Cricetulus griseus: one gene and its partners. The protein of the gene in region 3 purifies or fractionates together with the protein of the main gene of each other region. This does not show direct contact. Links are inferred from orthologs where the notes say so. Each region holds a gene or a part of one and is shown on either strand. Other genes may lie near its edges.

Region 1 (4,280 bases), on a different chromosome or scaffold from region 3:
CTGTAATTCTGACCTCTTTGTATAGTATGGCTATCTAAGCTTTCTATAGCCAGGTCCAAACAATAACACCTACCTGTCAAATCAGGCTGGCTTTCCTGGGAGGAAAGACATCCCAGGTACTTAAATAGAGGGTGATGTAGAGACCTCATCTAATCAAGATAAATTAGATAGAGTTTTCTGCCTATTTTTTTTTCTAAATAACTGCCCCCCTACACACACAAAGTCAGTTGATGGTGATGCATACCTCTAATCCCCACACTCAGACAGGCAAACCTGAGTTCGAGGCCAGCCTAGTCTACAGAGCGAGTTCCGGGAAGGCCAGGGTTACACAGAGAAACTCTGTTTCGAATAGCCAAAACAAAACAAAGAATCCAATTTCCTCTCCTCCCTCCTCCTTTTATCCTTTTAACTCCAAGCATGTTTCTGCTCCACTTGTAGGTCATTGCCAGAGAGTAAGCCTTTTTTAAAGGCCCATCCCAAAGTGTTCACTGTTACTTTCAGAGTGGTGGCACAGCCTAACCTCCTGGGTATGGTCACTTGCTGAATGTCCCTGTACATTGCAAGCCTCCTCCTTGCCCTAAAAACCTAGAGGCAAACTGCTCCTTAGCCACCCAGATTTACAGATAGAGACGATACCCTAGCACCTTTTACTTAACTCTTTAAGCCGGGCAAGGAGCACACTCGGCAGAGGCATCTAACCCCAGCTGAGCCCAGCTTCTGAGGGCGAAGAGATGGGGATGGGGCGTCTCAAGGTCTCAAGTAGGCACGGCCAGGAAGTCTGGCCTTAACGGAGCTCAGGAATCGCCAGCTCTGGATTCCCTCTCCTCCAGTCAGGCCTTGCTCTACTCTGTACCGGCTGGAATGGAAAGGGATTCCCACGGGTGCCTAGTTTTTACGGTGAGGAGACGACTTCACGTTGACAGTGGGAGGTCAGGTCGCAATTAAGCATAACAGGGCCTAATGAAGGGCTGAGCAAGACGAGGAAGGTTGCTCTATGTACGCGGATGCCAGGGAGGGCCAGGGCTGGGAAAAGCCCGCAGGAAGTTAACGGAGGTACTGTGTGAACACGGATCCGGGAACGGCCGTGAGCGTGCGCAGTAGAGGCCGCGCGCGTGGCAGGTCTCCCCTTCTGCATGTATGCTGCCGTCCTGCCCGCCTTCCGCTACATAAAAAAAGGAAGAAAAGAAAAGAAAAACCGTGCTTTTTCGAACTGCGCCTCTGCCAGAAAAGCTGGGAGTTCGCGCATGCGCACTGCGGGAGGCAACTGTGGGTGAGGACAACGCACACTGCCAGCCTGGACCTCTAGGTGGCGTCCGCTCCCTACTGGGACACAGCGCGCACGCGCGGCGCTAACCGCGCGAGGCAGGGCGGGCACGCGCTGGGCTGGGCTGGGCTGGGCTGGGCTGGGCTGGGCAGGACGGAGGCTCGGCGGGGTCATTGGAGCGCAGGCGCAGTGCGGTGTTTGTCTACCCCGGGCTGACGGGCGGCCTGGCGGCGAGCGGCGGCGGGGAAGATGGCGGCGTCCTCCCTGGAGCAAAAGCTGTCCCGCCTGGAAGCCAAGCTGAAGCAGGAGAACCGCGAGGCCCGGAGGAGGATCGACCTCAACCTGGATATCAGCCCCCAGCGGCCCAGGCCCAGTAAGCACGGCGGCGTGGGGAGGGGGCGGGGGGGCGGGCGCGCTGTGGCAGGCCCCGCCCACCAGGCAGATCCCGCCCCCGCTTCCGGGGCGCTAGCTCTCCTCCCCTCTATTCCCTACCGCTGTCAGCTTGCAGAGAGAGGGTCACGGTGACCTGGGAGTCGGGTGGGCAGTCTCCAGGGCGACTTCCTCCCCACACACACCGAGACCCTGGGGTTCACATCACTAGGACATGGGAGTTTAGCCGCTGGGTCCCCTCACCCGGTGGTCGGCCCCCAGTGCCTCGTCACCTGCACCCAGCAGGCTTTCAGACCCGAAGCTTCCGAGATCACAGCCAAGTCTTTCAACCCTACAAATAGTTATATCTCTTTTGACCCGGTGGTTCCACTCCTGCTGCTTCTGTGATTGTCAAGAGGTTCCCCTCCCCTAGCAGACAGTCCAGGCACATGCATACCCATCTGCCCACCCAGGTCACTTAGCCCTCATTTACATCTAATTAGTTTTTGAATAGAGGAGTTTCCGTTTGACTTCTGTGGTCATATCTGATGGCTCCTTTTCCTAAACCTGGAAGGGGCCTTGTCATTGGGCCCAGCTGACTGCCTCCTTCATACAGGGGCACCTCAGACCTCTGTGACCAGCTAGCCTCAGGGTTGCTGTATGGCCCTCTGGAAACACATAGCCATTCCTCAGCCTGGCAGCTTTTGTCTCCTGGGCCCTAGTGACTGCTAGTCCTGCAGACACCTGTGGTCAGTGTGAATGTATCTAGTCCCACCCTACAGACACACACCTCCCTTCTGCCTCTTCCTTCTCTGGGCCTGCCTCCCTGACATATGGTCCTGTACCAACAGCTGTTCCCCCTTCTTCCTATATGCACACCCGGCTTGTCATCATCATGACCACAGTTAGCGTCCTTGTTGTATCCCAGATACCCCTGTCCCCAAGTCTTCTCTGTGAAGGGAATTTGATTTTTCTCCCTCCTCACCAACCCTGTGATCCATGCCTTGCCAACCCTCTTTGTATCCCTCTTGATCCCAAACAATGTCTTCTTTATACTCCTGTGTTATATAATTTTTGGAGTACATTATTAGAATTGTCTGTAGGTCACCTGGTAAGAGGGGAAAGGCAGCCTCCCATAGCTGAGAAATCTGTCCACTCCCTGGTCTCTTGGTAACTTTCACAGCCTGATCTTTTCCCTAATCCCTCTCCAGGGTTCCCTCCATCCTTCCCTCTTCTGGCCTGAGTCTGTCAGTTTTCCTCCCTGGAGAGTTTCTTACAGGGCCTGGGGATACCCAGAGTTCGGGATGCTTTCCCCTGGATTCTGCCTGGGACAAGAAGCAGGGCCAAGCTTTGGAAGCCCCCTGCTGGTCTCTGCATAGCCATCTTCCCCAGCCCCAGAGTGGATGAGACAGGGTTGGGTATGGGGTTCTAGGCACCCTAACAGGTGTCTGTCCCTAGAACAGAGTGAGACCTGGTAAGGCTGGTGGCTGGCAGGCCCCAAGGAGCCCCCTGCAGGTGTCTGTGTCTGTCAACTCCATGCCTTCCTCCCACCCTCCCATCTCTGTCGGTTTCTACCCATCTCTGCAGTTCAGTGCCTTGCGCCTCCCCCTCCTCTTCATTATGATTTGATTTCTTTTCTGTTGAACAAATCAGTTATTTCTGTTGTGATTTATCGTGGTTTTTTTTTTTTTCTTTCTTCCTTTCCCCATCCAGTTATTGTGATCACTCTAAGCCCTGCTCCTGCCCCGTCCCAGCGAGCAGGTACCAGCCTTTTTATCATTGCTGCTTGCATATCTGCACATTGACCTAACCGCTGCCCCTGCTGCAGAATGCTGTCCATCCCCACCTCATGCTGTGTGTGTGTGTTCTGTCTCTTCATTGTCACTTCCTCTCCCTTCACTACAGCAGTGTGAGTCTGGCTGTACTTTCTCTGTGCCCTCCAGCCTTCCCATTTCTTCTTTGGCTCAGCTTCGAACCCCCGGAGGATGAAATGGGCTCCCCTAATAGGTGGGCACACAAGGGTGCTTGTGTGTGAATAGGGTGGGTAGAGGCAGGTGCACTGTTCCTATTCAGTTGTGTCAGTTGTGGAGTGAATGAGTGTCATCACTTGTGTACTGTATCTGCTCTCAGGGCCAGGAACATAGCAGTAAGTAAAACAGACCAAGTTCCTGTCCTGTGGGGCTGATGCTGCAATAAGGGGTCCATCATTAGACACCGAGCAAATTCCTGATCCTGTAGAGTAGTCTAGTAGGATGAGGAACTCTGCACAGGGTTGCTCAGGGAAAGCCCATGGAGGATACAGGATTTGAACAAAAGTGTCCCAGGAGGTTGGGTGAGGCAAGACCCGCCCCCAACACACACATATAAGGACCCCATGCTGGGCAGTTCCGCTATGCTGGTTCCTAGGTATGCAATGTCTCCTGTGTATAAGAGAAAGAACACCTGTGTTGGCAGAGATGAGGAGAGCAGACTGTTGGTGGTAGTGTGTTCCCAGCTTGTGTGTATATATGGATGTGTGTGTGTAGAAGGATGGAGGGCTGGCCCTGTCCCCATTGTGTGTGTGTTCCATGTTTTTGGTTTACATGTGTGTGTGCACGTGAGTGTGTGCACGTTAGGTTGGTAGTCTGAATAGTAAGCATGTGTCCCT
Region 2 (4,222 bases), on a different chromosome or scaffold from region 3:
TAAACTTCCTGTGGAGAACAACAGAATACATGTATTTAATTTTTACAACTGGAACAGATAATGATCTCATCCAATCTCTCAACTAAAGAGCGAAATCACAGGTCTCCAAACGGAATGACCTGTCCAAATAGGTTCTGACATAATCAACACAGCACCTAATTTCCTACATACTCAGTTTAATGCAATTTTCACCAAACCACATTGTTTTAACCATGCCACCCTCAATGCAGTCTACAGTTCAGATTTTTTTCACTTAGGTACACGAAGGTTAAAAACTGAATGACTTTTTAAAAAATTAAGTACCCATGTAGAATTCTGAGACACAGAACTGATATAATTTGACAGCAGAGTTAAATTTCGAAAGTGAAGAGACACAGTTCTAAGAGCACAACGATGAAAAGCATCTGCTGTCTTAAAATGTGTATCTACTAAATTATCCCACATCTGGTCTCTAGCTAGAATTTTTTTTTACAGCACAGTTTCTACTTATCTTCATATAATGCTGATTCCATTATATTGTTATTGAGAAATAAATAACATGGTTCTCTTAAATCACTTTTTGTGTGTTAGGATTGAAGCCAGAGGCTCAAGCATGGTGGGCAAGAATTCTATTACTGAGTTACACACCAAGCCACTATTTTCTTAATTTAAAAGGTGATATACTTGTCCATATAAAACACTGAAAGCAACATAAGATTGTTTTTGTGTTGGGTCATCCTTCTATTTTCCTATGATTTAAACTAGAAGTAGAATGTAAGTTGAAAAATAGCTACTGAGTGCCCATGGTGCAAAACTGTTTAGTCAGAAAGGCCTGAATTAAATCAAGGCTATGAAAATAAACTAAGCACTAAAATGAAACAAATTTCAAAACTGTACCAGCTTTGGGCTGAGAGCATCAAATTGATGACTGTTTCCCTTGCAACTTGCAGGCCTCAATGAAGCAAGATTGTGAAAGCTTTAAAAAGAATCAAACAAAGTAAGTTTGTGGAAACAAGTGGTAGACCATGAAGTACAAGCTATTATTATATAACAATTTGTAGTCTCCAAGCACAGCAATTCACCAGAGTATATGCAAATGCTTACTTAAAAACTGCAATTCTTATATAATGACTCACTGAAGTTTTAGTCTTAAAAAAGAATGTTATCCATGAAAGCTGCATCAACTACCCGATTCTCAAAAAAGGAATTTATCTTAGCTTCAATGGGGGTGGGGAGGCACACATAAAATGTTTTCCCTCTTCAAAAACAGGCCTTCTTTTAGCATGTGACCTTAAAGCAGGTCACCCTTCCTCTCTGGAACTTGCTTGCTAACAATGTGTCAGACACTAGGCTGGATTTTCTGCATACACTGCTTAAACTGGATTTGTCACACTAAGCAGAGGGAGACAAGTCACACAGTGGTCTATGCCACACACTGAATCCTCTTGTCTTAAACCTTTCTCTTCCCACCACTCTTCTTGTAAGACAGTCATGTTCTCAATGAACACAGTGATCTCTAAAGTTTCTTTCTGCGATGAAAAGATGTGACTTAGTAATTATCTAAGGAAAAATATATTTGCTGAGTGTTAATTAGCTTGCAACTCTTAACTCCTTACTACAATAATTAAAAGTTTTAAAGACAACTTTAGAGTGTAGATTTCAATAAACCCCACACTACCACAGAGAAAACATAAAGTGTTTAAAAATAGGACAAACTCATAGGAACTGCATGAAAGTATTTCTAACTAAAGTTTTAATGAGTTCTAAACTGCATTTTAAATATAAATACACATAGTCTTTTATTTTGGAAATACGAAGACTCTTAGAACTAACTGATGCCCACTGCGGATGTGAAAACAGGTGATGGATGTATCGAAGACACTCTGAAACGTTTGTTCTGAAATTCAAGGTGGAGATTTAATTTATTCGGCTTTTCTAACAGCTATGTCTGGTGCCGTGTTATATTCTGTCACCATAATCATTACTTGCCTCTTCAGAATGCGCCACTTTGATAGCACATTTCAAACATCCCTTCACAACAGACTCATGTCACTTAAGAATGGAAGTCATCCCCATTAGCCCAAGAGAAGACAGAACTACTCTATGGTATCAGAAAGAAGAATTCCGGACCAGGGAAAACTCCGTGGGACGCTTTCTTCACCAGCCTGTCCCCGAGCATCCTTTCGTGTCAGCCACTCGCAGCCTTGGCCTTAAACACCACGGCTAGGGAACCGAAACTCCGCAGCCGCCAAACTCTGCTCGCTCTATTGCGGATCATCGCACAGTTGAGCACACAAGCGATCAGGTATAGAGTCACACATGTAATCAGGTACAGAGTCACAGATTCCTATCAACGATGAAGCCCGTCCAGGAGCCGCCCCCGCCCCCGATCCGAGGCGGCGCGGGGCTGCAGGGCCCGGCCGGCCTCGCTCACCTCTTCCACCTCGATCTCCTTGTAGTCGATCTCTTCGAAGTTGAGGACCTGCGTTGGCGCTTCGATCATCTCACTGGCAGAAGACGAGGAGGAGGACGAGGCGGCGGAGGCTGTCGACATGACGGCGCCCGGGGGGCCGCACTCGCCCACCCGCCCGCGCGCCGCCCTTCAGCCCCGAGCCGGGCCGCCCCGCAGCCGGGCGCTCCGTGGCGCGGGACCGACCCGGGCCACCGCCGAGTCCCGGCTTCGGCTCCTCGGCGCTTTCCGTCGTCGAGCCCCGCCCACCGCACTTCCAGTTCCGGTTTGGAGTCGGAAGTAGGGGAGGGAGGCAACGCTTGAGGAACCGGAGGGGGAATTTTGAGACTTGGAAAGAGCGAGAAAAGCCGGGTTAGGGGTGGAGTGGAAGAGGGCGCGAGTGGCTCTCTGGGCCTGTGGGACAAATCTCGCGAGACTTTGGTTGGAGGCCCTCGGCTGCCGGGCGGTACCGCGATACCTGACGCGGTGACGTGAAGAAAATGCGCGAGCGGAACGAGAGAGAAGGCAGTTGGGGTTGGTCGCGCTGGAACCCGCGGGAAAGATGAAATCTGTCGGTTTTTATTTTGAGTTGTGTCGTGCCTTCCCGCCTCTGTTCCTAGCGGTCTGCAGACAGGCAGACAGGCGGTGTTTTGTGTCCTGTTCTTTTTGGCGCATCTTGATTTTCACTTTCACGCGTGAGCTGTTGAAGAAGCTTTCAAGTTTTGTAGAACTGTTTCCGCGGTGTGGCGTTTGCGGCGTTGTGTGTGTTCCTTTGAGCTGACCCCCGAGCCTGTGAGGGATTCGGGGCGGAAAAAGAAGCAATGAGTGCGAACAGCCTGAGGAACACCATGAAATAGGAGTGCTCACCGATAGACGCTAACGGTGTGCTGTAACACTGATAAACTCAAACTGTTTAACCTTGTCAGGTTCCCGAGGCTGTCGCCCGCAGCAGCTCGAAGAGTTTGTTTTGAGAGATTTCTCTCGCACGAGGCCGGATCCTTAGACGCACCAAGGAGAAGAATTCTAGGAGGAGCCAGTGCGAAGCAAAGCTGGAGAGTCATTCTTCACTGTCCTTACAATGTTTATGTACAGGATTTTTGTGACCTTTGAAGGCATTGTCTTTGAAGGGTTACTACGGACTTTAAGGGAGATTCCTGAAGGGTACCTGGCAAGCATGATTCCAGGAGTTAGGATAACTTCACCGGAAACGAAATTAATACTCTGGTTTTGTGAGGTTCCCAGAAAGTATCTAGGAAAGGACTAAGGCCTTACTTAAAGGACACAGAGGCTTGAACCTTAAGCAAGATCCATTGCTAGTTCAACATGAAATATCTTTATATAAAGGGATGTTGCCTTTATGTTGGCAATCTTCATAGCAAGTGTTATTTGTACTGGAATTCTTTAACTTGGTGACGAGCTCCGACTTCTGGGTGAGGGGCTCCTTTCCCTTAGGTCCCATAATTTTTCCTTCCCTGCCTTCATACAGTACTCTGCAATAATTTTGCGATTCAAGTTAGATCACAGCACCCTAATTATCCTTGTATGACCAACACAAGTTTTAGTTTAAGCTAGGTTTAGTTGATTTGACTCAAAAAACTAGCAAGAACATGAGAAGATTTAGTGCCCAAGTACTAACTCTGAGAATGCCAAGTCCTGAGTTTACTAGTACTGGTGGAGATCCCAGTTTTACTCCAAGAGACCTTTCCAATGAAAGAGTAGCTGTCTGAGTTAATCCAAGTATAAGTAAGTTAGAATGCTTGGGGTTGCAAGTAGATCATTGTATTTGACAAGCTA
Region 3 (3,022 bases):
CCCAGATGAGCCTGATGTCCACTTCTCTAAGAAGTTCCTGAACGTCTTCATGAGTGGCCGCTCTCGCTCCTCCAGTGAGTCAGTGAGCAGGGAATGGTGGGGGGGAGCCTGGCCAGGGAGAGCTGAGATGGAATGGGGCCTCAGATATCACGTAGTCTGTCCGAGAGCAGGACAGAGCTTCCTAGTTGTCCCGAGCTGAGGTCACCTCCTCCAGCCTATTGACTTCCTACAGGTGCTGAGTCCTTCGGGCTATTCTCCTGTGTCATCAATGGGGAGGAGCATGAGCAGACCCATCGGGCTATATTCAGGTGAGGGCTGCCCCTTCCTTGCTGTACTGGCCCACCACTGGCATCCCCTCAGCTGCTGGGGGACGGTATCCCCTGTAGGAACTCAGCTTAGTGACAAAATGCTCAGGTGTCATGAGGAAGCTAGGGCTGTGCACTTAACCTGCCCTGCATAGAACCCACACCCCATCTTGCCTCCTCTAGGTGAAGTGCTCACTTTCTGTGGCCTTTTAGTCATCAAGGCCTAGGCTCCCTTCCTCCCTGGCCCTGAAATCTTGTGTGGCAGATGCATGTCTCAGGGTGGCATGTCCCTCAGGAGGCAGCATTGTGATAGGCACATGGGTATTTTGCAAATGTCAATGGCTAAAGAACCCTGATGATCAGTACCTCACATGCCCTTGGGGGTAGGTTTGTGCCTCGACATGAAGATGAACTTGAGCTTGAAGTGGATGATCCTCTCCTGGTGGAGCTGCAGGCAGAAGACTATTGGTATGAGGCCTATAATATGCGCACCGGAGCCCGAGGTGTCTTTCCTGCCTACTATGCCATTGAGGTCACCAAGGAGCCTGAGCACATGGCAGGTAGTACTTCCCTCTAGTTTGGTCATACCCATCCCCACATCTACCCACCTGACTTGCTGCCAGTGTACATGTACCCCAGGTCTTAGACAGCCAGGGAGGAGAGCAGAGTAATTTCAGTTCTGTTATGCCAGGTCGGGGCATGTGGGGATGGTAGCATCCTCCACTGCCTGAGGCACTCCACATGCTGCACTCTCCCTTCTTGGCTTGGCTCTGAGCCCTCTGCTGATGGCTCTCTTGCTCCTTATGGTATGGTTGCTTTCCAGCCCTTGCCAAAAACAGCGACTGGATTGACCAGTTCCGGGTGAAGTTCCTGGGTTCCGTCCAGGTTCCTTATCACAAGGGCAACGATGTCCTCTGTGCCGCTATGCAAAAGGTACCCAAATCTGACTCCTTGCTTTTTCCTGGGGTGTTTGTCCTCAGCCAGCCCACACTAGGGAAAAGGACACAGGGATCTGGAGGCAGTGTTATGACATGAGGGATTCATAGAGGAACACAGAGCTTCCAACATGGCTCTGTCCCTCATGCAGATTGCCACCACCCGCCGGCTCACGGTGCACTTTAACCCACCCTCCAGCTGTGTCCTTGAGATCAGCGTTAGAGGTGTCAAGATAGGTGTCAAAGCCGATGATGCTCAGGAGGCCAAGGTGACTTCCTTTAAGCCCCAGCCTTCCTGCCCTGTGTGCGTCTCCTGCTCCTTTATTTCTTGCCTGCAATGTGTGCCTCCTCTCCCTGTGTGCCTGCCCTATCCCCATTTGCTCCTCCTGCCTGTTTCTGCCAAGCTGACTATCTTGTCCTTCCTGTAGGGAAATAAATGTAGCCACTTTTTCCAGCTAAAAAACATCTCTTTCTGTGGATATCATCCAAAGAACAACAAGTAAGTAGGAGAAGCAGACATAAGAGTCCCAGTGGTAGTCATGGGTAAGAATCTTGTCTCACAGATGCCTGCCTTCTCATAGGTACTTTGGTTTCATCACCAAGCACCCTGCTGACCACCGGTTTGCCTGCCATGTCTTTGTGTCTGAAGACTCCACCAAAGCCCTGGCAGAGTCTGTGGGGTAAGTGTGTGTGTGTGGGGGGGGGCGGTTGATAAGGGTCTGCCCAGGGAATATGCCCTGTCACAGGCCTTAGAGCTTCTTCATGCTCAGTGTGTCACCCTTGTCCTAGAAACCCCACTCCTGGAAGAGGCTGGGAGGTACTAAGGAGCCCAGGGTTGGGGCCACTTCCTGGTTAATTAGCTACTGGCCCTTTCTCAACTGCTCCTTTCTTCTTTGGGAAATAACTGCCCAGAGAACAGAGCCAAGCTGTCCGGGAGTCCCAAAGTTTGAAGAAATTGAGTTGAGGCTCCTGGTCGCCCCCAGTGACCCTAACCCTAACCCCAGTGCCCCCCATTTTCCAGGCGTGCATTTCAGCAGTTCTACAAGCAGTTTGTGGAGTACACCTGTCCTACAGAAGATATCTACCTGGAGTAGCAGTGCCACCACCCTCTGCAGCCCTCTGCCCCAGGCCAGTACTAGGACAGCTGGCAACGGACAGGATGTGGCACTGCCACAAGAGAATGGGGGAGTGAGGGCTGTTTCGGGGGGGCAGGGGTATGGGGAGAAGCAGATGCAGTTTATTGTAATATATGGGGTTAGATTCATCTATGGAGGACAGTACAGGCTCTCTGGGGACTGGTGAAGGGTCAAGCTGGGGGTGGGGGTCAGGCCTCTGACTACAAAGGGTTCCCCTAGGAACAGAGGCACTGCCCCATCCTGGGTCTTGTTTCATGCCAGGGATCCTGGCTTTTCTAGCTCTTGGCTCCTGCCTTGACAAAGCCCATTCCACCTGGAAGTGCCCACCGTCCCCTTCCCACCTCACCTAGAGCCCTGAGCTCAGGCTGAGTCCAACCACCTCCGGAGGACTTTCCAGTAAGGAAATGGCAATACATGACAGTCAAGACATCTGTGGGGCCTCTGGGCAGCTCTAACCTCCAGCCTGGCCAGCATGCTGGTCCTGGCAGGCTTGTGTGCGCTAGGAAGGAGAGGGCTACAGCACGCCCTGCCTTGCGGGGAAAGGAGGCCTCTCAGCTGGTCCCAGCCATCCCTGTCACTGTCTTGTCACCTGGCTACTACTATTAAAGTGCCATTTCCTGTCTGGACCACAGTAGGTGTATTTACT
Region 4 (3,563 bases), on a different chromosome or scaffold from region 3:
CAATGTAAAAATGTTCCCAGTACCCACAGCCCAGAGGTTTCTCTGCTTTGCCTAGCCATATACAATGCTGACAGTATACACTTTTTGTTTTCAATCTAGGGGCTAGTAGTTAGGAAAAAAAAAAAAAAACCAACAAGCTCAACTTAATTAAGCAGAAGGCTCAATGAGGTCTCAATGAAAAGCTCACAATATACAACCAAGGAAAGGCTAGGGTTTCCTGACCCAGGTGCTGCTCACCCTGAGGTAGAGGAGACAAAGCCATTGTTTTTTCTCAGGTGATCACAGTCTAGGAAGAGCATGGAAGGGCAGGAAGGGCCATTCTCACTGGGCCACACTCAATAGTTTCTGTCTAGAATCCTTACTGAAGTGAACTTACTGAACTGAAGTTCTTTGCATTTGAAAACATTTTGAATTTGGATTGCTGACATCACAATGAGTCGTGTGTGTGTGTGTGTGTGTGTGTGTGTGTGTGTGTGTGTGTGTGTGTGTGTGTGTGTGTGTGTGTTTTACCATGTATTCTGAGGCTAGAAGAGGGAGTCAGGTGTCTTCCTCTATTGCTCTCCCCTTTATTCCTTTAGGACAGGATCTCTCACTGACCTGCTAGGCATATGCAGCTATGTGTGGGCTTTCTGTGTGATGTTAGGGACACAATCCAAGTCCTCATACTTGCAGGCATCTTCTAACCCATAACCTAAGGGTTGTCCAGATTGGTCTGGACATTTTAATTTTGGCCTTTTTTTTTTTTTTTTTTTTTTTTTTTTTTTTTTACTTTGTTTTAGCAAGGTCAAGACTCTTGGTCTTTAAGTTTTCACTCTGTGGTGCATTCAAATGTCAGACCATAAGAGATGCTATTTCAGGGTTCTTAACATACATGGGTTTTAGAGCTCAAACATTAGAGAAACAATTATAGAATAAAAGAATACCTTACTTTTTATTTTGTCTCGCTCAGATTCTGATGGAAATATCCAATCTGGAAAGAGCTCTTCAAATTTGATTCCAGGGTACTTTGGTCTATTTTCCACGTAATTCCTCACGGTTGGCTGAAGTTTCTTCATGAACTCTGCAGACGGTGTTCCTAGCTGTTCAATAACTTTATTCCACTGATCAATATCTAAGGATTCTCTTGAGGAAAATACAACTGAAATGCTTCATAGTCATAACATATACAGTACCATCATGCAAAGTAAAATTATATTTATATTTGTGGACAAGTAAGTAACTAGGTCACCCCACAGGATCAGCAAAAACATTTTGGAATAGTATTTAAATAAGGTTTGGTTTTTAAATTACTTAACAAAAACTCTCATTCTCTGCATCTTAAAGACTATGATTATGGCTCATTAAATCAACATAATCTATAAGTTTTTCTGTTATAATTCAAAATGAAATTATGACAAAAATGATTCAACCTATGATATAAATGATTAAACATGAAATAAACAAATGTTACATAAGCAAACTGAAATCAATTTTCATACTAAAGCTACCTTAGACTCACAGGTCTCTAAAGGAGAGAAGAGCTGGAGAGACCATCTGACCTGTCTCATAGCTAGGCAGCAAAGCCTGCGAAACAGGCTGACCACGGGAAGCATACAGAGGGAAGGGGCAGGGGCCCAGGCTCAGGCCTTTCCCACAGACCACACACCCTCCTGAAACTGCCTTAGACAATGATGCTTTCAGAGGCCATTCTGTTTCACTTAGCACCAGCCCATCCCTTCAGCATCTAGTGATGTGTTGTTCCTTCCTTTCAATGTACATGACCTCGGTTTCATAGTCAGTGAGTTCTACACTCTCAAGGTTGCTGGAGTCAGTCCTTAGGAGTGACGACCTCACTTGTACATGCAGGTGACACCAGCTTTGCTTAGCTCTAGGGGTGCTCGTTAGGCCTAGGGTGACTGGGACAATGTCTGTGGAAAGTGACACTGAAGCTGTAAACAGTCACACAAGACAATGCAGGCTATGAAATCACATAAGAGGAGCTTGGAAAGTGACAGGCTTTCTCAGAATATGTGTTTATGCCCCTGGAACATCACCTAGGGCTGTCACACAAACTCAGGTCTTACAGAGCGTTCATTTGGAAGGTCTACTCAGGAAATGGGTGCAGAGAGTGAAATCCTGGGTGCTCTCCTTCTCCTCTCCTTTCATGCACTTTGACAACTCAGGATTATGCACAGGTTTTATTTAGGGGCTTAGCCAAAACAGGAAACCTGGCCCATATTATCCCTCTCTCCATATACTTTTAACACCTCTTCCTGATGTTCCTTCCTCACTGTGAAGACTAATCCTAAGAGCAACATGATGCCCCCACCCCCATATCTCTGTGCCACTTACCACTGGGAACCATCTGGGCTTCTGGCTAAAAGCCAAGCCCATCTACCTTCCCTTCTCACCTACTGAAGGACAAGTATCTCTTATTCTTATTTCTTGATGCTCCACCCGAAACTCGATCTCTACTGGAACCTTCTGCCATCATTCAGACATGATGCTCTCTTCCAAGTTAACAACAGCCACTTTCCTGTGACACCCCTAGTCTGCTTACTGATAACCTGCATCTAATTCCTATGTCCTTGTCCTCTCCTAAATGTACTCTCATCAGACTTCTCTCCCCAGTCATCTGGAGAACTGTTTCCATTAAGGTTGCCAGGGGCAACCACCAGACCCAATGGTAAGTTCTGAGCCCTTCCTCCTTTTCCTTAATCCCTGATCCTTTGTTCATCTCTTCAATGCTTAGTACCAGCTCAAGGTTTCAGTGCTATCAACAAACCAATGATTTCCACATTCCTTTCTTTGTTCCAAATCTTTGCCTTGAATTGCACACTTGATAGATTAGATACTCTGAATCCACAAAGTCATTTGATTACCCCTCGGAGAAGACTCCAGGGCCAACCAACTGGCCTGGTGTGAGCCCCACCATCTCTTTCTGGGTGACTAGCAGTGCCTCCTGCTTCTACTGTCCTCAAGAGATCTTGGCAGTGAATCTTTTACACTTCACTTAGATGAAGCACCTACAAATGGGTAGGTTCTCTCTCTCTCTCTCTCTCTCTCTATATATATATATATATATATATATATATATATATATATATATCTGGATTAGTGCTACAGGGTCATTTTGATAGATGGTGGCAGGGAGGTGGCATGGGGTGGGGGAGTGGGCTTTACCTGGGAAAGAAGCAAGGTGGACCTTCTGGGTGGATGGAGCACAGGTCTTTCATTTAGAAAAATAGGAAGCCATAGCCCAGAAAGACCAGAATTTCTCCAAGATACACAGCTGCCATGAGAGGCCGTCTGAACTTGGACTTCAGGTGGCCAGGCTCAAGTGTTTTCTTTCTCAGAAGCCACAGTAAGGAGAGCAGTTATTTTTCTGCCAAGGTCACAAGCAAACCTCTAGAGAACCTCAACTTGGTTTCTGGAGCCTTTCTATAGCACCCAAATTTTCAATCTAAACTTTGAAAAAGTGAGCAAAACTTTCTTTAGAAAATGATGTTAATTTCTGTGCAACTTTAAAGCACTTAGGGTGACCTTATATATAAAACATCAACTATTGTAACATGTTAACACAT

Evidence for each region.
Region 1: the proteins of Mapk8ip1 (region 3) and Map2k7 purify together in Homo sapiens (affinity purification with western blotting; 3 studies listed by BioGRID and IntAct, with this or other methods). This does not show direct contact. The link is inferred for Cricetulus griseus from reciprocal best matches to the Homo sapiens genes MAPK8IP1 and MAP2K7.
Region 2: the proteins of Mapk8ip1 (region 3) and Map3k7 purify together in Homo sapiens (pull-down; 3 studies listed by BioGRID and IntAct, with this or other methods). This does not show direct contact. The link is inferred for Cricetulus griseus from reciprocal best matches to the Homo sapiens genes MAPK8IP1 and MAP3K7.
Region 4: the proteins of Mapk8ip1 (region 3) and Mapk9 purify together in Homo sapiens (affinity purification with western blotting; 4 studies listed by BioGRID and IntAct, counting the BioPlex papers as one, with this or other methods). This does not show direct contact. The link is inferred for Cricetulus griseus from reciprocal best matches to the Homo sapiens genes MAPK8IP1 and MAPK9.

What each region holds. Positions count from the first base shown.
Region 1 is NC_048597.1:89,048,733-89,053,012, forward strand, and holds the start of Map2k7 (dual specificity mitogen-activated protein kinase kinase 7), read left to right. Parts: upstream 1-1,436; 5' UTR 1,437-1,513; coding exon 1,514-1,637; intron 1,638-3,346; coding exon 3,347-3,394; intron 3,395-4,280. UniProt on the Homo sapiens protein: Dual specificity protein kinase which acts as an essential component of the MAP kinase signal transduction pathway. Essential component of the stress-activated protein kinase/c-Jun N-terminal kinase (SAP/JNK) signaling pathway.
Region 2 is NC_048595.1:110,111,423-110,115,644, forward strand, and holds the start of Map3k7 (mitogen-activated protein kinase kinase kinase 7), read right to left. Parts: upstream 2,819-4,222; 5' UTR 2,534-2,818; coding exon 2,414-2,533; intron 2,408-2,413; exon of another isoform or gene 877-2,407; intron 1-876. UniProt on the Homo sapiens protein: Serine/threonine kinase which acts as an essential component of the MAP kinase signal transduction pathway. Plays an important role in the cascades of cellular responses evoked by changes in the environment.
Region 3 is NC_048599.1:84,354,726-84,357,747, forward strand, and holds the end of Mapk8ip1 (C-Jun-amino-terminal kinase-interacting protein 1), read left to right. Parts: coding exon 1-74; intron 75-232; coding exon 233-308; intron 309-692; coding exon 693-865; intron 866-1,128; coding exon 1,129-1,238; intron 1,239-1,392; coding exon 1,393-1,509; intron 1,510-1,668; coding exon 1,669-1,739; intron 1,740-1,821; coding exon 1,822-1,920; intron 1,921-2,261; coding exon 2,262-2,334; 3' UTR 2,335-2,474; downstream 2,475-3,022. UniProt on the Homo sapiens protein: The JNK-interacting protein (JIP) group of scaffold proteins selectively mediates JNK signaling by aggregating specific components of the MAPK cascade to form a functional JNK signaling module. Required for JNK activation in response to excitotoxic stress.
Region 4 is NC_048600.1:64,342,344-64,345,906, reverse strand, and holds part of Mapk9 (mitogen-activated protein kinase 9), read right to left. Parts: intron 1,112-3,563; coding exon 929-1,111; intron 1-928. UniProt on the Homo sapiens protein: Serine/threonine-protein kinase involved in various processes such as cell proliferation, differentiation, migration, transformation and programmed cell death.